Linked DNA regions of Nothobranchius furzeri. The protein of the gene in region 2 purifies or fractionates together with the protein of the main gene of each other region. This does not show direct contact. Links are inferred from orthologs where the notes say so. Each region holds a gene or a part of one and is shown on either strand. Other genes may lie near its edges.

Region 1 (4,134 bases), on a different chromosome or scaffold from region 2:
GACAGACCTCCTGTAACTTAAAATGAACCAAAGCTTCCTCCCAGTTTCTCTTTAAGATGAGTTTAACATCAGTTTATCTTCATGACACAAAATAATAAAGTGGAACAAGAACTTCTATTTCTCTCTCCTTTTAACTTCTCCGTGTCCCTAAATAAAAGAGACAGACGATCACGCTGCAGCCGCTGTCACTGACCCCGCCCCCTCCCCAAGACCGGCTCTCCCTACATTACAACAAGCAGTCTGACTGAGCGCTTCCAGGAGAAATAATAATTAAATTATGAAAATAATAACGCGTGTTTGGAGGAGCGTCCTCCGATCGTCTCTCTGAGCAGACAGTGTCTCTCTCTCTCTCTCTCTGTCGCTGATCGAGCGAGCGGAGCGCGCCGCACGACAACCGCTCAATTAACATAATTCACGGCCCAAATCCAACAGAACCGGTCGGGCTGATTCTGTTCCGGTTTGGTCTCGGGTGACAACTCTAGTGCTCAGCCCTGCAGTACCACATTAAGGCGGAGGTAAATGTGGAGGACGCTCACTCAGACAGACTTGGATCTGCGCTGGTGCCGCCATTAAAAAAACAAAACTACATTCCACTATAATCGATTATGGCGTACTCTTCTACGATGCAGAATCGTTTATGTCCGCATCCCGATGCATCGATTATTTGATTATTTTCCTCAGCTCTAGGTGTTGTGGTAGGCTAAATCCATTTTACAGTATTTACACTGGAGTACGTTTTCCACCTTACGACGTGAAAAATGGTCCCACACCTTTGACATTTTGTTTCGTTTTCGCACTCCACCGGGGTCCACGTTGTCCGCCGTGGCTTAAAAGAAAGTTAAGTTGCGTTCGCTGCTCGCGTGTGCATTCAGTGCAGTGTGTATGTGCGTCACTCATTTCGTACCGGGTGAAACATGACCACGGGCGCTTGCAAAGCCATTAATTAATTAAACATGAATTAAACGAAGCTTCGAGGCAGAGAATTTGACTCGAGGATTTTTTGTACTCGAATTATTCGAGGTACTCGAGGAATCGTTTCAGCCCTACTTGTTTGTACTTTACGATGGACTTTCACATTATGGATACGTTTTGTGGCGAGCCGGTGGTCTGATACCTGCAAGCTGCAGGCACAGATGACATGCTGCATTTTTCTTTAGTTTTTTTTGTTAAATTCTTACGATTATCATTATGACCTTGAACTACTGTGATATGATTTTGAGGCTATAAAACCCACCCCATTCTCACCTGCTAAACATGTAGCCAGTTTAACGAAGTACTGTAGGACTCCATCCCTCTACCACGCCGTTTTCCCTAAAGGCCAGGTTCACTTGTTTTTTCAATACATTTGCAGTGGTCTCCGGTATTTGTAAACACCTTGTGAGTTGATTTTTGTGAGGAGAAAACGCTGTGGTACATTTTTATTAAGAATTCAACACAATATTTTTTCAGGCTGTACTAAAGTCCCCGATGCCCAGCCGTCTTATCGCCCCGGCACCAGCTTCCAACCAGGCTCATATGTCCAAGGTGGCAAGTCACATTACTGTCACCATAGAGAGCACTATGCCCACCACGCCATCTATCCCCGTGGCAACCATCAGTGGTCAACAGGTGAGTGTTTGTCACATGAATTTTCTGTTTAGTTTGGTTTTCCTGTTATGGACGTGTTCTGTTTTCCTGCTGCTTCAGGGTCACTCCAGTAACTTACACCACCTGATGCCAGCAAATATTCACATCATTAGGGCGCCCGCCGTCCCTCCCCAGACCTTCACTTCCCATTTACCTCTAGGTATGAAGTTTCTGATACGATCAGTACACCAGGATTGATGTTTACTTGTCGTTGAAACAGTTCTGTCTCTCACTCAGCCGTTTTAATAAGTCATTTCATGGTTTACCCTGCAGGGGCTGCTCAAGCAGCTGTTATGTCCAGCTCCAAAACAGCCTTGCGGCCTGCTACTGGAGCGAGCGGGGGCCCTGGCCAGCCCACAATGCAGCACATCATCCATCAGACTATTCAGGTGCATGGAACTGAACCTAGAGGAGGGGTTAGTTGTTCCGAACAAGAAACCGTCTGTGTAACATATTCTGTCCTTCTGTCTGCAGTCGCGCCCTGCTGTAACAACCTCCACCGCTGTGCTCCCGACTGTTGTGGCCCCCATTTCAGCAACTAGAACGCAGTCTCCAGTTATCAACCCAACTGTCACTCACTCGGATGGGACTCTTGGGTACGTTCTACATCTATGGAAGAGATCAGAGGTTACGTTTCAATCAGCTAACCTGCAGCAGTTCACACCTTTTTAGTTTTAGAAGAAGAAGAAGAAAATATCATTTCTATAGCGCCTCTCAAGACAAAAATCACGAGGCGCTTCACAAAAACAAAAAATGTAAAAATATAAAAAAGCATTTAGAAAATGTTTAAAAATACATTTAAAATGAGCAAAAATAAGATGTTGCGATTTAAAAGAAAAAATGTTGAGAGAGAGTGAACAGGAAAGAAGGAAACCAGTGGATCCTGAGGAAGGTGGAATAGGTGGGGAGAGCAGAACAAAGAGAGAGAGGTGAAGAAGGTCATACAAAAGCCAGCTTGAACAAGTGAGTCTTCAGCTGCTTTTTAAAGGAGACCACTGAGTCCACTGATCTCAGGCTCAGGGGGAGAGAGGTCCAGAGTCTGGGGGCCACAGCAGCAGATGACCTGTCACCTTTGACCTTTAGCCTGGTGCTGCACAACCAGTAGGCTTTGATCACTGGACCTCAGGGACCTGCTGGGGGTGTAGGGACTAAGAAGATCACCAATGTAAGATGGTGCTTGTCCATGTAAGGCCTTATAGACCAGAACCAGGATCTTGAAATGAACCCTGAAGTTGACTGGCAGCCAGTGAAGCTGGAGGAGAAGCGGGGTGATGTGGGTGTGTTTGGAGGACTTGGTCAGAAGCCGAGCACAGGCGTTCTGAACCACCTGTAGACGGTTCAGGGAGGTTCTGCTCAGACACGTGAAAAGAGAGTTACAGTAGTCTAAGCGTGAGGAGATGAAGGTGTGGAGAACTGTCTCAAGTTCAGAGCGGGACAGAATGGGACTCAGCTTAGCAACGTTCCTGAGATGGAAGAAGGAAGAGCCAACAAGAGAACTGACATGAGAATCCAGGGTGAGAGCTGGGTCAAAGGTCATACCAAGATTCCTGACAGAAGGTTGGGTGTGGGAAGCAAGCTGACCAAGAGAGTCTCTGACTTTGGGAACCAGCTTGTCTGGGGCACAGATGAGGATCTCAGTCTTATCTTCATTCAGCTGAAGAAAGCTCCCACCATCCAGGCTTTGATAGAGTCTAAGCAGGTGTGTAACAGCTGCAGCTTAGACATCTCATGGGGCTTAAAGGAGATGTACAGTTGGATGTCATCTGCATAAAGATGGTAGGAGATTCCTTTGAAGGAGCTCAGGATGTGCTGAAGAGGAAGCAGATAGAGGAGGAAGAGCAGAGGCCCCAGCACAGAACCTTGTGGGACACCATGGGTGAGAGAGGTGGTGGAGGATCTAAACTTGAGGACAGCCACAGAAAAGGAGCGCTCAGAGAGATAAGAGGAGAACCACTCCAGAGCAGATCCTGATAGGCCTACCCAGTCTCTCAGCCTCTCCAGTAGCAGGTGATGGTCAACAGTGTCAAAGGCTGCAGTCAGGTCCAGCAGGACCAGAACAGAACAGTCCCCTGCATCACTGTGGGTCAGAAGGTCATTGGAGACCCTAAGAAGAGCTGTTTCAGTAGAATGAGCTCTACGAAAACCTGACTGGAAGCTATCATAGATGTTATGTTGATCAAGAGCAGCTGTGAGTTGTTTAGCCACAACCTTTTCCAAGATCTTGGAGATGAATGGAAGTTTAGAGATGGGTCTGAAGCTGCTGTGGAGAGAGAGGTCGAGACTCGTTTTTTTAAGAAGCGGGTGGATTACAGCGTTCTTAAAGTAAGCAGGGACCTGACCAGAGACCAGAGAAGCATTAATTATAGAGAGCACGCTGGGACCGATGGACTGAAAAGCACTTTTAAAATGTTTGCTTTTAGTCATATGATGCATCGCTTCAGGCGTCTTGACTTTGTTGGCTTCAGAACATTTTATTTAAACAACTGTAAAAATTTAAGTCTTAATAAA
Region 2 (4,588 bases):
ACTTTATTGTTTTCTTTAGAAATTGCAACAAAGTAAAATGTCAACACTGCAGTTTTGTAATGTTGTGATTTCTTACACATATGGCAATAAAACCCTTCTGATTCTGATTAGATGTGTTCTTTAAAAAATACCTGTTAGACAAATTTGCTATGTTGTAAAGCACATTAAGTAGTGTGCTGCTTACCTAAACCTGATCTGGTAGTGAAAATGAAAGTGGTACGTTATCAGCCAGGCTACATTTCAAAGATAACTGTTAAGTTTGTTTTTTCCTATAACTTCTTCCTGCAGCTACTTTCACATATTAGCTGCAGTATGAGGTGTGCATGAAAGGTATGCATACCACAGCATGACACAAAGGATGAGGTGTTTACACAGAAAAAGTAGTTATACAGGTAAAGCTGTCATTAGCAAGCCTAGTCTATTTTACGTTGATGTTGTTATTCTTAAAATTTTCAGGGTTATTTTGTATTTACTGTTTATGTTTTTGTTTGTTTGTGTAGGTGGGACAAACCAGCCCAGCATGCCCTACCTGATGTCGTTAAAGGAGGGCTGACTTTCCAACAGTGGCTTCAGAGGTGGAGAATAGCTACCAAAGCCTGCTAGTTGACACCTCCACATTTCTACACCTCTTGCTTTAGGAACCTTTAAGAAACAGATTACTATACTGTTAGTTAACTAGTGCACATGTGTAAGCTAATGTGTGTGTGTTGTACTCTTGTTGGAACTCGTTTTATCATGTAAAATGCAGTCATCAATAAATTTTACTCATTTGTTTTTGTCTTAGCTTAATTGCCTCGCTCAGTTACCCGCAATTCATTCGTGTAGAACTATTTACTCCTGCACAGAAAACATGCTGGATGTGGTCACGTGGTGTTACAATAAAGCCGTGCATCGATAGCTCGATCATTTTCTGTACGGTTACAGTTCCGAGGGTTTTAGTTGAACCTACAGTGCGCGTGTGTCATTTAGCGCGGAGCTACATTGTTCTTTGTAGCAGTGAAGGGGGAGTGGAGCAATCTGATTCTTGTGAACTCGGCTCCTCCCACTGCTGCGGCTGCGCACTTCAATTTTTCACTCATTTTTTTTCTTCTTATTTTTCACTCCTACTCTGGCTTCCGGACGCCAAGACAGACCACTGCCGCCGAATTTAAAGAGACAGGCGATAGTTCTTTTAAAAAACGTTAAACGACAACCATTGTGTTCGAGCTTATTTCCCTACCGTTCGTGCTTCCGTCTGCTGAGTTCGCTGGTGATGTTCGGTCGCACTCTCGGCGAGTAGCAGCTTGTCAGTCATCACCCTCCACTCTGCCCGGGGTTCCCTGTTCTTTTCGCCTCTGTGTTGAGACTGTCCAGCCAGGCAAAGTAGGGTTGCTCGCTTGCTGGCAGGCAGGCTGGCTTCCCGACCGAGAGAGCAACGTTTGTCGCCTAGCCAACAACTGGAGGTAACATCGAAGCTTCCCTCGTAAGTTGTGGTAGCGGCTCTCGAGCCCCCTGCCGCCGGGATAATGGCGAAGATTCAGGCGCACAGCGCCGCGAAGCAAATAAACCAAATTCAAGACAAGCCTTACGTTATAACACAAAAGCAAGTGCAGCAGCAGCACTTCCAGAAGCTGAAGGTAAGAGGACAACGGACACGACAAGCGAAAAGTCTCAGTCACAACCATTTTGTTCGTCGGCTCATTTCAACGCATTAGATTTCTCCCCGCTCGAGAGTAGTGAAAGAAACGGCTGGCTAGCGATAGTTGGCTTAACTGGACAAATAAAAGTATTTCACACCTGAATTGTTCGACACTGACATGTAAGGTTAGACGTGGAAGCTGTTTTCCATTAATGAGTGTGCGAGTGACAGTCGAGTGACTCGGTTTGTAGTACTTTTCTTTTTTTTTTCATTTGCGCCATCAATGGTAGCTGCTGTGAGCAAACATAAAACGGCAGACCTCGGTTGTGGGAAGTTCCTCCTTGTTGGATTTTTTTCAGTCAGCTTGAACAAAGTGGGGGACATCAGCCAGGCCAACCAACAACGGCTACTTCAGTTGATTAGCAGCTTCATTTTACGTGTCTTTGTTGTCGCAGTGTGTTTTTAACCTGTCGTTTAGCTTTTGCCGATACGACACATTTGGCCGGGGACCAGCTGCGACTAAACGTATTGTGTAAAAATTGTATGCGGGTGGGTGTTAAGAGTGTTGGGGAGTATTCAGTTGACTGGCTGTGTTGGCTAATGTTAGCTACAACAACCCTCTTCAGATGTAGTCTGTTGGTGACAGTGCTTTGTGTGAACAGTTTTTTTTCCTCTCTCTTCGCTGTCTAAACTAGCTCGTTTGGTTTAGAGAGCTCCAGAGCAATCAACCAAAGCTGCAGAGGTTATTTATATTTAAATCTTTATCGTATGTAATTAAGCGAACACGTGCAGCTTGATCTGCAAATTGTTTTTTGATTAAAAAATATATTATTTACCATGATAGTGGATATTTACATTGTATAATTATAAGAGCCACGTTGTAAGTACTGTGGTGTAAGCAGGGAGCTGTCTCATCCAACGTCCGTCAAATTCATCTTCAACCATCAACAAGATGTAATCTGTTTGAGACTAATTATCCTTTTCTCTCTCTTTTTTTCTGTAATCAGGTTGAAGATGCCTTGTCGTATCTGGATCAAGTCAAAATTCGTTTTGCAAATGACCCAGGAATATACAACAAGTTTCTCGACATCATGAAAGAGTTCAAGTCTCAGAGGTATCTGTGATTATGTCTAAGCAGACTAAACGTTTGTATTAGTCACTCTTGATCAAAGCTGTTCAGAGTTGGACAATGTTCTTGATCTCAAACGTTTTCTTTGTTTTGACTAGAGGTCAACCGATATTGGTTTTTCTAATGCCAATGTCAGTGGCTGATGTGTATTGCAGATTTTTTTGGGCTGCTTTTCATGGCCAATATCCAGACATTTTCCACCTTTTCATGCTAGAATTTCACCATCGATTGATGCACAAAGTTCCTGAATCTGTTTTTGAACTCTTAATTTAACTAATTGTTAAATCTTTGTGTATTGCTCAGTGTTAAAGTCAGACACATAAAGTTAATTTGGAGTGTTTATTATGCAGATGTTATTACTGAATGTAAAAATACATTTAAATTTAATTCTGCAACCACACCGGGCTGCCCAAGGATGAGCCTGACTTTAAATCTGCTTTATTTAGGACAAATATCAGATGATGCCAACGTATAAAAAACAGTAAACGTTAATCTACCCCAAGTTTTGACACAGAAATAATGAACACCACTTTTTTGCTGTTCTTTAATCAACAATTCTTAGAGACAGGAATATTGTGACAAACTGACCACCACTGCAAAAAAAAAAAAAAAAAAAAAAAAACGCTAGTATAGTTTAAAACAAAAAGGTGGGAACAGATTTATAGTACAGTAGTAAAATTAAGTCCGTGAGCTCATTACTTGTCTAATTTTTTCCCTACCTTAACCATATTTCGAAATCACCAGTCTGTGCCTCTGTGTGGTGCTGGGTGGCACACACAACAGCTGTTCATAAATGCTATTTGTTTTCAAATTTGCCAGCTGGCATTTATAAACGTCTGCTAGTTTGGAAAATGATGGTCACAAATGCTGACTGCTGTTTCAGATGTCATTTAAGAAAACATTTAGAAGAAAAAATAAATGAACCACAGTGGCAAAAAGGAAACAATCATATTTTTTACTCCTTTGGTTCTTGGTAAAGGTTCAAAATAGGTCAGAAACTCAAACTAATTATCTGTTATATTATTGACAGACATGCGATATGTCATATAAGCAATTTGGTTCCCAGGAGATGCACAAGTGAAAATGACCCAGAGACATGCTTCTTTACATTACCCAACAATATATACCCAAATATTGGCGCAGTGGTTAGCACTGTTGCCTCGCAGCACGAAGGTCGCAGGTTCAAAACTCAGCTGCGGCCTTTCTGCGTGGAGTTGCGTGTTCTCCCCATGCATGCGTGGGTTTCCTCCGGGTACTCCGGTTTCCCCCACAGATCGCAACATGCCCTATAGGTTATAAATTGTAAGTCGCTTTGGATAAAAGCGTCTGCTAAATTAATAAACATAAACATATATTCCACAAAAGCATCATGATAATGTCTAAAGTCTTGCAACATTTGTACAAACTTCTCACAATCAAGCACTTGTGTCTGGGTCACTTTCATTTTAGAAGATTCTTAGTAGATCACATCGTAGATAAAAGCAGACAAACTTCCTCTTTTAAAAATTTTAATATATTTTTAATTAATTCAGACTGGTGAATCGTTGCTGTAAAACGAATGCTGACGTTGCCTTCACAACTCCCTGTTGTTGTCCTGTGAAAAAGGCAAATACTTTGAGCACACTCTTTGAACCACTTGATTACAGTTGTAGGTACGCCTGACTCGAAAGGAAAACCCTTTTATACAAGAATGACCTAATGACCTTGATAGAAGAATTTACTATATGTCGGTTGTGCAAAAGAGCTTTGAAGTGAGTGTTATTGCTTTGAAACTTAATATTTTAGAGCTTGTGTTCTAGATACCATCCTACTGGGTGGACAAGGTTAATTTTTAGTTATTT
Region 3 (4,134 bases), on a different chromosome or scaffold from region 2:
CTCTGCCATCGCCTTCTCCACAGCATGATGTGGAGCCAGTCCCACCCCCCAGTCGATCAGCCTCTTCATCAGCTCCAGAGTGACACAGTGTGGTTCAGAAAGGGTGACACGGACCTGAAGTTTGATGAAGATGGAAAAAGAGCTCTAGTCGTTTTACATTCAGGCTTTAAATTTTACTTTCTGGATTTCCATTTCAGAGCTGAGTATTTTAGGGAGTAAAATATTTAAAATAATTAAGTGATTTACTTTGAATGTGCACAGGAGACTGCATCATGAGTCACCATAAGGATTTGTAACCAGCATCACTGACAGTTGCTGCTCGAGGAGACACGGTGTGTAAAAACAGAGACTCTTGATGATGTAAAACTATTTTCCAATTCTCAAAGGTTTCCAATATGCAAATTAACTCATCCACTATTAGTTTAAAAACCTCTTCACACTATCACGTTTACAGCTTTTTTTTTCTTTGTTCTTCTTCATATTTACAAGGTCATCTCTATGCATTTAACCCTATATAATAGTTTGTTCTTTGAGGCTCCAGAGCATTTGAAACTTTAGGCGTGTTTCCACGAGCGGAACTTCAGGGTAAATTTACCAGCATTTCCCGGCATGCGCGTCCATTCCACCGGGCCATTTTCCAGGCCATTTAAGGAATTTTCGGTGTGCACGAATAAGGACAGGGTTAGAGCTCACATTAATAACATAATTCGGTCAGCATACTTCCATCTACGTTCCATAAACCGTCTTCGCCCCTCACTGACCCCTCACACTGCCGCCATTCTCGTCCACAGCCTCGTCACCTCCCGTCTCGACTATTGCAATTCACTTCTTTATGGTCTCCCCAACAAACTCCTTCATAAACTGCAACTGGTCCAGAATTCAGCAGCCCGTATTATCACCAGAAACCCTTCCTTTCACCACATCACCCCGGTTCTCCAACAACTTCACTGGCTCCCAGTTAAATTCAGGTCCATCTCCAAAATTCCCCTCCATACCTTCAAAGCAATCCACAACCTCTCTTCTCCATATATCTCAGACCTTATAAGTATTCACACCCCATCCCGTTCACTCAGATCTTCTTCTTCCATCCATCTTGCGGTTCCTTCTGCCCGTCTCGCTACCATGGGGAGCAGAGCTTTCAGCCACTCTGCTCCTCGTCTCTGGAACTCACTTCCCCCAGACATCAGGAACATCGACAGTTTTACCCTTTTCAAAACTAAACTCAAAACACATATGTTTAAATCTGCCTACAACCTCTGATTTTACTGAACTGTTTCTCTCAGTTTTTTTTTCCTTGTTTGGGTTTTATTATTGTTTTATTGTATTTTATTAAGTATTTTCTGTCAAGTGACCTTGGGTGTCCTGAAAGGCACTTTTAAATAAAATGTATTATTATTATTATTATTATTATTATTAGTTGGAGTCCCTGATTAAATTGTTTTTTTTTCTTGCCATCTTATGGAAAGAAATAAAGTCTCAAAGCACAACAACGTTGCAATTCTTTGAATAATCAGACGTGTTAAGCCTCTACAATCCTAACAAATCCCTGCTAAGGGACAGGTTTACTAAAGTCTTGGCTGGGATTGGTTAAAGAGTGAGTAACACCTAAATTAACCTTTTTGCTGATAAAGATAGATGAGTGTCTAATAGTGCTGTAGACATGTGTAACCATTAGTGTGGCAGTTTAGTGCAACTTACGTTAAACTTATTTCAGCCCCAAACCGTAATTCTATCACCATCTTCAGGTTAAAAACTCATCTCCACATTTATTTAGAATCAGCTGTGGCTGACGGCTAAGCTGAAAAACGTGACATTGTCAGCAAATTACTACAAGGCTGCAATGCACTGGTCTCCAGGTGAGGCAGCCGCACCTCCATCCGGCTCAACTACTCACCTGCCGATATGACATGTTGGAGCTCTGAGCTGCTTGCCTCCTTTAAAAAAAAAAAAAAGCCCTCCTCCCCTTTTCGTCTAATGATCTCAGTGGACATAAAATCCTCCAGAATGCTGCAGAATCTGTGTCTGCTCTTCTCCTGAGAGGTAAGTCTGCTGTGAGTGTATGCTTGCTTCCATGTGTGCTCGTGGACTTGTTTTTCAACAGAGAAACAGCGCACGCTGGGGGGTTGCCATCTGTCATTGCCTCAGTGCTGCTCTCTCGGTTCATCAGGCTCTTTTAGAAGTGTTTTGTTAACAGGAAGTGTGGATGAAATACGTCTCCACCCAGGCCTTGGCTCCCACTTTAACAGCTCACCTCATCAAGCCACCTGGCCTGTTGCAGCTCCTGTTTGAGTCTAGGCAGCTCGGGCAGCTCTACGTCCAGGCCGCTTCCCAGATCCAAAAGCTCCTGCAGCTTGGCGGAATCGGGCGTCTCGTCTGATAAAGCCACCTGGGCTCGCTCGTGGAAGTCCTCCACAGTCTCCAGTAACTCCTAAAAACACATGGGGAGTTAAAGAAAAGAGGTCAGATGTCATCAGAGGAGTGAAGCAGGAGGAAACATGCTGTATGTGGGCATCGTATAACAATAACAGACAGGACTGACTTTGACTTGTCGCGCCTGGCTGATGATACATGGCAGCCTGTAGAGCTGGCCCACAAAGGCTTTCAGCTCATCTACGGTCAGTTTGGTGCGATTACGGCTGCTTTCAGAACGAAGGCGGCTGCTGCAAAAACAGACGACACCGTCAGCTCTTCTCTGGACCTGACAATGGGAGCTCCACTGCTGGCCTGTGGTGTGAAGGTGTACAGACCTGTGCCTCTGCTTACGGCTGAGCAACAACTGAGCCACTGAGGAACACGTCTCCGCTTCTTTCACCATCTCCCTCAAGCGACGGAACAACGAGTTCTCAGGGTATTTCCTGTCTTCTGCGTCCTCCAGCAAAACCTTGAGTTCAATCAAATCTATAAGACAAACAAGGAGATAAAAATTCAAAGGGATACGTTCGAGATTAGATTTCTGTTTCAGTTTTGGAGCTAATAGATAAAAGTTCTGATCAGATTGAAAAAGGAACATGTTTTATGTGCATTTTCAGGTTATAATAAGGTTTAAGACTGTGGAGAAAAACATGCATGGACCTTTTTTGTTCTTCTGATCCGCTACCAAAGCTTCAGAGACCCTCTTGGCCCAGGTGTCGTAGGACTGAGCCCGGGTCTTAACGCCATACAACATGGATGGAAACTCCTCCAGATCATAACGATATCTGAGACATAAAAACGAAGCTGAAGGTGGTTAACGGAAGAAATGGAACACCAAGTTAGGATCCCGACTTCTAAATTTAGCCCACAAAAGAAACAGGTTTTTTATTCATGAAAATTCCTACCGAAGACACTTGTTGCCAAGAGGACAGTCGCAGAGATCCTTGGCATGATGGAGGCAAACCAGCCGGTCCGGACAACAGGGACAGGTCAACGCCGAAAGGAAGCAGGTGGTCTTACACTTGTGACACTGACGCTCATCGTCTGGAACGAGCTCAAAGACCTCCTGTTCTGATGACAGCACCCCCTACATCCAGGAAACAAAAGATGATTTTTAACGGTTAGGTTTGAATTTCAGCTCAGTCACGGTGCAGTCCAACACTTTTGACATGTTCACCATTTCTTGGACAGCCTGCCTGAGCTTCGTCTCCTCCTCTATCATCTCTCCCATCTCCTTGAAAATGGACGCAGCCAGTTCCACGTCGAGGCTCTCGGGATCAGCCGCCATCTTGCACAACAGTTCTTCGTGGGAGAAGACGCAGTAGCGGTGGAGCCGTCGGTAGTGAGCAACGCACTGGCGCCCCAAAGGTAACTGGGAGAGCATGTGAAAGCGTGACTAACTCCGCCGTGAAGGAAACAAGAGCGGTGTTAAATGGAATGTGCTAGGAGGACTCTCCTCACCCAGTCAGCTGTGCAGAAATTAACAGCTTCTGCAAAGTTGTAGCCCTGGTTGAAGCCGCTGTGATAGGCTCTGGGGAAGGTCACCACAAACTCCCCGGCACACTGGTTAGTCCTGTAAACCTGAGACGCAGTCACAAAGATAAGGCCGGGGAACAACAGAGACCATACAGACACGTCCTCAGATCAAACATCCACCCTACAGGAACACCGTGCTCCATGAGGACGTTTGGATTCATGATGGTGACCAGCTGGTGAAGGAGG
Region 4 (4,368 bases), on a different chromosome or scaffold from region 2:
TTCAAATGGCACAAAAATTACATGTTGCTAAAATAAATGTAAGCGGCTTACAGTTCTTGTGGAAAATTCATATCGCTCTCTCTCTCATCTGTAAGTTTTTTTTTATTGGTTTGATTCTGTTTCATTCCAATCTTTCATTTTTGGCAGTAAAATACAGGAAAGCTAAAATAAATCTTCCTAAATGGTCCAAAAGCTAGCTTCCAATGGCGTTTTGCTATTTTCCTCGTGTCTGGGACTTTATTAAAACACTTATTTATAAATAAAACATTAAAATACAATAAAGGCCAGTGTATCTAATAATCTGGCTTCAGGACGCGCTGATGCTCAGCTCCAGACTCGCCTGTGAGGAAGTGGAAGGTCTCGTTCTCCTCGGTGGTTTTAGCTAGGTCGCTGTATTCCAGGGTGTTGCTGTCCTTCCCGGAGCCGTTGTTGAAGGAGGACAGGGCCAGATGCTGCACAAACAGCTCCTTTACAACAGATTAAAAACTATATTTAGCGATTTTAACTTCACACGATTTTAGTTCAACCACCAGCTAGTTATGCTAACCCCCCGCTAATAGAAACACAACCACATTAGCATCAAGGGCAGCTTACAGTAGCCTTGGTGGTGAGGAACAGCGCGTCTTGGTTGATGCTGGAGACATCCGGAGAGCTCTTCATGATCAGTCTGACCCGGGACACCGGGAGAGAGATGGACTTTTTGGCGTCCGGCGTCTGGCTGTCTTTGTTTGGGTTGTTTCGAGACATTTCTGTTTGGACAAAGGACAAGAATGACTGAACTTTAAGTTTTGTTTTGAAGAGTGACGCCTTTCTTCTTCGCCGTCTTCAATTTCTTTGGTGGTCTTTACGTTGAAACAGCGCCTCCCGCTGGAAAGCAGGAGTATAACCCAGCACAAAAGATGTTATTTCAAACAACACTGTATATTTAGATTAAATTTAATAAATAGTAATTAAATTTTACCCTGATACTATATTTGTATTTTAAAAAAGTACCTGACAATCATTCCAACCAGCTCTTGGGAAACGGTCAAAACAGAACCATGCTTGAGAGAAACAACTTTCAGCTTGTTTAAAACTATTATATTTAATATAATATAATTTAATATAATATACTTAAATATACAAATGAATAATCTCGAATAAACTCTATCATTATTTTTGCCATAGTGAGGCAAAGGAAATGGAACTCTTTTTATTTTGTTTGCATTTGTTTCTATTCTCCATGAATCACAGGTCCTAGTGTAAAAATGTGTTTGTTAGAATACAGTAAAATAAACTGCAGAATTGTTTATAAAAGTAAACAAAAGTAATTAACATTATTTTAGTTCCTCAAAGGATTATACCAATTTTCTAAAAACTTTTAAGGAAATCTGTAAAAAATATGAAATACATTAAAAAACAGGAACAACCACCACTACTACTCTGCCTCCTCCTCCTCCTCCTCCTCCTCCTCCTCCTACTACTACTACTACTACTACTACTACTACTACTACTACTACTACTACTACTACTACTTCTACTACTTCTACTAGCTACTACTAACAATAAAAATATTAATAATTTAAATAATTTAAAGTAGAAGACGTTTTATTTGTCTGTTAGTGGGGAAAGCCAGTCTTTCAATCAGCAAAAACCTGTAAAAATAAAGAGTGAAAAAGATACAATCAAAGGCATGGAAAGTAACAACTTTGTTAAACAGATAATAATCAAATAAACGGTTATCTCCCATTGTAATAATAATGATAAGAAGAAGAAGGCCGCTGCTTCAGCACTCAATAAGTTAATTCCTATATCAATCCAAACTTTTTAAACATGTGAATGAGTGATACTAGTGATCAATAGTTTATTATTTTAATCCTGAAAAAACACAAAGTTGTTGTTCATGCACTCATATCTATTTTAACAACGATAATAAGGAAATACTGACTCACATTTAGCTGCCCCAGCCCAGCGCCCGACGCAGTCCTCCACACCAGTAGGCGGCGCTTGACTTCAATAGTTTTCCGACCTCAGAACAAAGGAAACGCTGAAGAAGAACCTCCGCGCTGAAAGTAGAAACAAGTCAGTACATAAATAATGCTGCTTTAACTTCGTTGTGTTTTAAGGCTTTTTGATGTCTTTACGGTTATTTTTGTTTGATAATCGTTGGCGAAATATGCTAAAGCTACATCCGGTCGTGATCTGGTAATAAGCCAAGCAGCTGCGTTTCTGTTGTGATCGTTTTTACGTACGGAGGCATCGTTCTCTAGCCGGTAAAATGCCTCTGGGTTTGAAGCCGTGCTGCTTTGTCTGTAAGACGAACTCTTCCTCAATGTGGAAGAAAGGCACCCAGGGTGAAATACTGTGCAACAACTGCACAGGGAAGAGCAGCAGTAGCGGCGGCGGCGGGGGAGCTTCGGGACCCTCCTCCATATCAACCATCACACAGCCCAGCAACGGCGGGGCCAAGCAGGTCAGAAACACCGAAGAGAAACGCCACGAACAAAATCCGAGAGTTCATGAGGAATTGTTAGTTTTTATGTCTTATTTTAGTTAATTTTTAGAAAGCGTACACATGACTATAACATCATTGTTTTTGCTTTTCTTTAGTAGTGTCTTGGTGTAACAACAGCGCCCCCTGGTGGCCATGAAAATGTTTCTAGAAAGTAAACTGGAATAAAATAGTTTGAAAATAATACTTCATGTCATTTTTTTAATAAAATAATTTTACCATTTAGTTTAATATTTTTAATTAAAATAAACTGATTTATAGTTTTTTTTTCTGCTGAAAAAATGCCATCAGGAGCAGAAATATTTAAATGTGTCCATTTGTAGTCCAAACAGGAAATCCACAGGAGGTCTGCACGGCTGAGAAGCACCAAGTACAAAGCTCCTGCTTCTGAGAAAAAAGTGTCAACAAAAGGAAAAGGAAGAAGACACATTTTCAAGCTCAAAAATGTAAGTTTCTGCTTCTTTAATGTATTTATTTCTGATATCTTTTATTTGACCTCATCCAAATTATTTCCTCGCAGCCTATCAAAGCACCAGAATCCGTAGCAACAATCATCACATCAGAATCTATATTTTATAAGGTATGATTCTGATTCGTATTAAACTAAAAGGCATCGTAATGATGATACTTTAATCTTTTCTTCTTCCATCCTGTGTTTGTATTTGCAGGGCGTTTACTACCAGGTGGGCGATGTGATCAAAGTGATAGATGAGGAGGATGGAAAGCCGTACTACGCTCAGATCAGAGGATTTGTGCAGGACCAGTACTGTGAGAAAAGTGCAGCACTGACGTGGCTCATTCCCACTCAGGCCAGCTCGAGCGATCAATTTAACCCTGGAACGTACATCGTCGGTAAGAACTGTGGCTAAATAAAGGATTTTTTTTGTGAGTGATTTATCTTATTTCGCTTTATTATGTTTATCAGGACCAGAGGAGGATCTACCCAGAAAGATGGAATACTTGGAGTTTGTGTGCCACGCCCCATCGGAGTATTTCAAGTCTCAGAGCTCCCCATTCCCCACCATCCCCATATGTCCTGAAAAGGGTTACATCTGGACCCACATAGGATCCACACCAACTCTTACTGTCAAAGAGTCTGTCAGCAGCGCGAGCTAACAGGACCGATGTGGACTTGGCCTGTTGCCTGTTGTTGTCAAACAGATAAATGTACATTTATGTAACATAGAGAAAATGGTTGCGGACGGCAGCCACTATTTCAGTATAAAGGAAAGTTGCAATTTGATACTAGATGGACGGCGTATACAAGTTGTTTACACATAACTGCAATATTGGAATAAATTTGCAAATAAAAAAATGTGAAAAAACCCTTCAAGCATCAGTTTTGCCTGTTATTGTTGAAGAAAGTTTGTGCAAGAATTTCAGTATCCTGCAAATAATATTATTTTGTTATTTGGAAATGAAATGTTTAGTTTTTACTTCTTATTTACATTCTATAGATTTAAAAACACCAATAAATAATTTAAAACGGATTTGTTTATTTTATAATAAATCAATTACAAAAAATGTATTTTTCAATTTTACTGAATGCAATATTTATGAATTTATAAATAGAAAATGGTTTAATTAATCGTGTCTATCAAATGTAATACAGGTCCAGATATTAAAACCAAGCTTGTGAATAATAAACTGGTAAAACTGTACAATAAGGGTCCCTTTATTAACATTACTTTCTGCATTAATAAACTATTAAAGTTAACAATATTACGTCATGCATTACTAAGCAGACACCCCCTCCCCTCCCTTTGTCCCAACCTTAAGGACACTTAATAGTTAATGCTAATTAAGCGAGCTTTTATTAATGCTTAATACACTGTGTAACGCTAATAAAGGCACCCTTATTGTAAAGCGTTACCAAT
Region 5 (4,134 bases), on a different chromosome or scaffold from region 2:
TCAAGGAGAAGAAGGCAGCAGTGAAGGAGTTTGACGATAAAAAGGTCGAGCTGAAGGAAAATCTAATCGCAGAGCTGGAGGAAAAGAAAAAGATGATAGAGAATGAGAAGTTAACAATGGAGCTGACGGGCGGTAAGGAAACCTGAGAGTGATTATTTGCCCTGAGAGGAAAAAACTGGCAAAAGAGAGTGGATATGAGTTCCTGAACATTTAACGTCGGGCTGGGCGATATGGACCAAAACTTTTATCTCTACCTTTGAGCAGAATTACAACATACAGCATGTGTGGATGTTTGTCTTCCTGTAAAGTATTTGTAAGCTAACTTGCTGTATGAAGAAATTATATAAATAATTTCATCAGCAGATTAAATGCATCTTAAAATGAATGTACTCTGCTGCTGTCAGACATTAACCTTAGTGCCATTCTCATCAGTCTGGGCTCTGGAAACACTGGTATGGCTGTCTGTTGAAGATCAAGTCACCCCCTACCAGAGTCTTAACTCCACTCCCACTTCCTGTTTGAAAAATGCAACAAATGCTGTTGCCTAGCAGACCGAAAGTGTGGAGCCGCTTACAAACACACACACAGGCTCACAACATTGTGACATCATATGGTACCAGCCGACGTTCTAGGGTACCTCTTAGCCAATAGTGATGGCAGATTTAAATTCAAATGCGGTGCAGAGTTTTTACCTGACAACGGCACAACACTGACAGTTTTAGGCAGAATATTTAAATTTGAACTAAAATGCACTAAAGTGCAAAACTATTGACGACACGTGTCTGCAGCACGATTAGACACACATTTATATAGTTTATCAGGAATAATAAGTTGATTTGGGGGTGACTTGCTCTTTAAAGCTGTGAATCTACACAACAAGCTAGGTTTGAAACACTCACCCCTCCCCTCTGGTATCTTCCCTGAGACGCTTCTGCCGCAACCAAAAACCTGCATTTTGAGAAGATACAAGATGGCACTAAACACCATTCACCAAAACCGTGATGGGAGCGTCTCTAATGTTAAAGTAGCGGTGTGTAGCTTCCTGCAGCTAGGCGGCAGTACGTGTGTTTCAGGGCAGGTTGACGCCATTGACCTTTGCTAGTTTAGAAAGGCATTATGGTAAATGTTGTTACCTGTGGAGCAGGAAGCATGTGACCTTGGCGTGACTCCTCATGGTCCTTCAGTTAATGCCATCGAGAGAATGCAGTGCCGTTTACAGTTTAGAGGTGCCGTAGTTTCTGGTTCTGCTCGGGGTCCTGCGCCTGCCGATGACGCCACCATACTACGGCAATACCCCTCGGCGAAAATATATTGCGTCTCTTTTTTGATTCTGTTCTATGTTTACGTTTGTTTATTTATTTATTTGTCAGACGCTTTTATCCAAATTTATTATTATTTTTAACTATAGGGCATGTTGTGATCTGTGGGGAAACCGGAGTACCCGGAGGAAACCCACCCATGCATGGGGAGAACACGCAACTCCACGCAAAAAGGCCACAGCCGAGTTTCGAACCTACAACCTTCTTGCTGCGAGGCAACAGTGCTAACCACTGCGCCACCATGCAGCCCCAGTAAATGTGTTCTTTCACACTGGCTTTGGACAGAGATTAGCCGTTTTGTTTTTAAGTTTGGGTTTCTTACTGCCTAAATCTCTGAGCATCACTTCTGTGAGCCGTACGTCCAGCCAATCATCTGTTGTGACATCATCGCCAGGCGCAGGACCACGAGCCGGCCAAAGATGGTGTTTAATATGGCCCCCAAGATGTTAGACCTGCGCCCTGTGTACTTCAGACCCGATTTTCATGGTTGTACGGTACGAAGCCGCCAATATTTCAACAACTGGGCATCATTTTATTCGTCTTCAACAACATTTCGATGGATTTTTCCAGAGATTAACGGTAAAAACTACAGATTGTCTCTTTAACAGAAATGTATTTATTTATTTTTTCACTGACAGACTCAATGGAAGTGAAACCAATCATGACTCGAAAGCTGAGGAGACGGCCCAACGATCCAGTTCCAATTCCAGACAAGCGGAGGAAACCGGCACCAGATATCCTTCAGACAAGCTCGGGCGTCAGTCTCGACTTAATCCTGCTCGGGATCTGTACCGATGGAGCCAAATCTGTTTACTTCTTAACTCCTCAAACCTCAGCTAAATTATTTGTTGACAGATGAGCAGATAATGGAAGATTTAAGAACACTTAATAAGGTTTGTGGGAAGTTCCCGCAGCTCTGCTGATTCTCGTGTGTTTGTCTTCTAAACATTTTTATGCTTTTCTTACAGCTCAAGTCTCCGAAACGACCAGGTATGTTAAAGACCCGCAACAGAACCAGTTCACACATAAACGGATTTTGTGATATGTTCTGACTGTAATGAAAGCATCGCCTTTTCTCACCTGAAAGAACATTTTAAGTACTTTTACTCATCACTGGTCCTTTTCATCTGGTTGCCTGGCGACCATTGCAAAAGTCTGCGTTTTCTGACCTAGAAATGATGCATGAAGCAATTATCCATAACAATACCATGTGTGTGTTTTGTGCAGATCCAGTAATGTGTGAAGCATCGTCTTGATGGGTTTTTTTCCTCAGGTGCCTTGTCGCTAACCGGTTGTGTGTGTGTGTTTAGTGTCTCCCTCGTCTCCAGAACACATCCCGTCTGCGCCCTTGGAGACTCCCTCTCAGCGTTACGAAGCCCGCATCGAAGACGGGAAGCTTTACTACGATAAAAGATGGTAAAAGAGCAAGTGTTCAAATCTAAACGGGCCTTTGTGCCGCATGGTGTAGTGTTTCCTGGGGTGCCTACAGCTTTGGCCACCACTAGATGGCCACGTTGCCACGGGGTTGATGACTCATCACACGCAGGCCTGTTATATTTGAATAACTTGGAGTTTAGTTCTGGGCGACAGGAATAAGGACATCAGTACGAGCTGGGGGCTGACTCCAACTGTTAAATCCGTGTTCAGGAGCACGTCTGCATAGGGAAGCAGCTCCTCGTGCTGCTTTGGTACCCGAGTAAAGATAATAAGAGACCTTGACCAGACGCGGCTTCGACAGACACGTCGGCTCTTCTAAAGGAGACGCCGCAATAAACTTCTCTTATGAGCTGCTGATGTAGACGGAAAGCTGAGAGGTCGAGAGGCACTGGCGCTCGTCTTTGAAGGCGAAGTCTCATTTACGAGAACACCGGAACACCTCCAAGAGCCGGAGGCAGAAACACGTGTCGTTCTTCCTCTGTGGGCTTAATGATCAAACACTTCAGCGAGTCTCGTCTCGCTCGTTTCTGTCCTTTTGATGTGTGGAGTCTTAAAATATGCAACGGGTTTTTGTTTTCACTTTTCAGTCCAGTTATCGACTCGGTTCGTCTCAGGAGAAGCTCCGTCTGAAGTGATATGGTTTTAAAAGGCGAGCCCTTGTTTCCCTCCACAGGTGATTAACTGTGACTTTACTGGTGACAGGTACCACAAGAGTCAAGCCATCTACTTGGAATCAAAAGACAGCACGAAGATCAGCTGTGTCATCAGCTCCGTAGGAACCAACGAGGTGAGTCTTGGTCCTCATGAAACTAAACGTCCTAAAAGACGTAGGAAGAGGTTTTTGGTTATTGTGTCGTTAATCTGAAGCCAAGAGCTTCCGAATCTTCTGTGGAATATTTATCGTTCAACTCGGATACAAATCTCCGATTATCACGAAGCTAATTAATAAAATACATATTTGATCTACTGAAAATTAAAGGAATTTTCTTGAATAAATAATAATGTAACTTTTCATTTATTCTTGCTCTTTTAGGGAACTGTTATGCATTTTTAGGTGTGGATTATGTTAATATTAGTCGTCGTGTAATCGATGTTGAGACTCGTTTACGGTGTTGAAATTTCTCGTGCGTTTAAAACGCCATCTCCCGTTGTCATAGAAACATGCTTTTTCTTTTACAAACGCCACATTTCACAGATGCTCCTGCTAGTATTCATCTAAGGAGGTGTTTCAGCCATTTTAAAGAGCAAGTCACCCCCTACCAGAGTCTTACTCCACACCCACTTCCTGTTTGAAAAATGCAACACATGCTGTTGCCTAGCAGACCGAGAGGGCGGAGCCACTAACAAATACACCCACACACAGGCTCACAATGACATT

Evidence for each region.
Region 1: the proteins of sin3b (region 2) and sap130a purify together in Homo sapiens (affinity purification with mass spectrometry; 3 studies listed by BioGRID and IntAct, with this or other methods). This does not show direct contact. The link is inferred for Nothobranchius furzeri from reciprocal best matches to the Homo sapiens genes SIN3B and SAP130.
Region 3: the proteins of sin3b (region 2) and kdm5a purify together in Homo sapiens (affinity purification with mass spectrometry; 4 studies listed by BioGRID and IntAct, with this or other methods). This does not show direct contact. The link is inferred for Nothobranchius furzeri from reciprocal best matches to the Homo sapiens genes SIN3B and KDM5A.
Region 4: the proteins of sin3b (region 2) and gatad1 purify together in Homo sapiens (affinity purification with mass spectrometry; 5 studies listed by BioGRID and IntAct, with this or other methods). This does not show direct contact. The link is inferred for Nothobranchius furzeri from reciprocal best matches to the Homo sapiens genes SIN3B and GATAD1.
Region 5: the proteins of sin3b (region 2) and suds3 purify together in Homo sapiens (affinity purification with mass spectrometry; 3 studies listed by BioGRID and IntAct, counting the BioPlex papers as one, with this or other methods). This does not show direct contact. The link is inferred for Nothobranchius furzeri from reciprocal best matches to the Homo sapiens genes SIN3B and SUDS3.

The regions. Positions count from the first base shown.
Region 1 is NC_091756.1:60,898,465-60,902,598, reverse strand, and holds part of sap130a (histone deacetylase complex subunit SAP130a), read left to right. Parts: intron 1-1,449; coding exon 1,450-1,608; intron 1,609-1,686; coding exon 1,687-1,786; intron 1,787-1,899; coding exon 1,900-2,015; intron 2,016-2,100; coding exon 2,101-2,222; intron 2,223-4,134. UniProt on the Homo sapiens protein: Acts as a transcriptional repressor. May function in the assembly and/or enzymatic activity of the mSin3A corepressor complex or in mediating interactions between the complex and other regulatory complexes.
Region 2 is NC_091748.1:57,507,032-57,511,619, reverse strand, and holds the start of sin3b (paired amphipathic helix protein Sin3b), read left to right. Parts: upstream 1-1,303; 5' UTR 1,304-1,505; coding exon 1,506-1,616; intron 1,617-2,625; coding exon 2,626-2,732; intron 2,733-4,588. Other genes in the region: haus5 (HAUS augmin-like complex subunit 5), read left to right, coding at 501-603.
Region 3 is NC_091741.1:53,784,097-53,788,230, reverse strand, and holds part of kdm5a (lysine-specific demethylase 5A), read right to left. Parts: coding exon 4,074-4,134; intron 3,994-4,073; coding exon 3,874-3,993; intron 3,785-3,873; coding exon 3,590-3,784; intron 3,500-3,589; coding exon 3,318-3,499; intron 3,198-3,317; coding exon 3,073-3,197; intron 2,899-3,072; coding exon 2,748-2,898; intron 2,661-2,747; coding exon 2,540-2,660; intron 2,429-2,539; coding exon 2,252-2,428; intron 115-2,251; coding exon 1-114. UniProt on the Homo sapiens protein: Histone demethylase that specifically demethylates 'Lys-4' of histone H3, thereby playing a central role in histone code. Does not demethylate histone H3 'Lys-9', H3 'Lys-27', H3 'Lys-36', H3 'Lys-79' or H4 'Lys-20'.
Region 4 is NC_091759.1:18,088,321-18,092,688, reverse strand, and holds gatad1 (GATA zinc finger domain-containing protein 1), read left to right. Parts: upstream 1-2,030; 5' UTR 2,031-2,257; coding exon 2,258-2,452; intron 2,453-2,814; coding exon 2,815-2,937; intron 2,938-3,011; coding exon 3,012-3,071; intron 3,072-3,159; coding exon 3,160-3,343; intron 3,344-3,416; coding exon 3,417-3,607; 3' UTR 3,608-3,830; downstream 3,831-4,368. Other genes in the region: chrac1 (chromatin accessibility complex protein 1), read right to left, coding at 341-467, 595-747. UniProt on the Homo sapiens protein: Component of some chromatin complex recruited to chromatin sites methylated 'Lys-4' of histone H3 (H3K4me), with a preference for trimethylated form (H3K4me3).
Region 5 is NC_091750.1:34,589,343-34,593,476, forward strand, and holds part of suds3 (sin3 histone deacetylase corepressor complex component SDS3), read left to right. Parts: coding exon 1-132; intron 133-1,957; coding exon 1,958-2,053; intron 2,054-2,150; coding exon 2,151-2,212; intron 2,213-2,287; coding exon 2,288-2,309; intron 2,310-2,629; coding exon 2,630-2,735; intron 2,736-3,458; coding exon 3,459-3,543; intron 3,544-4,134.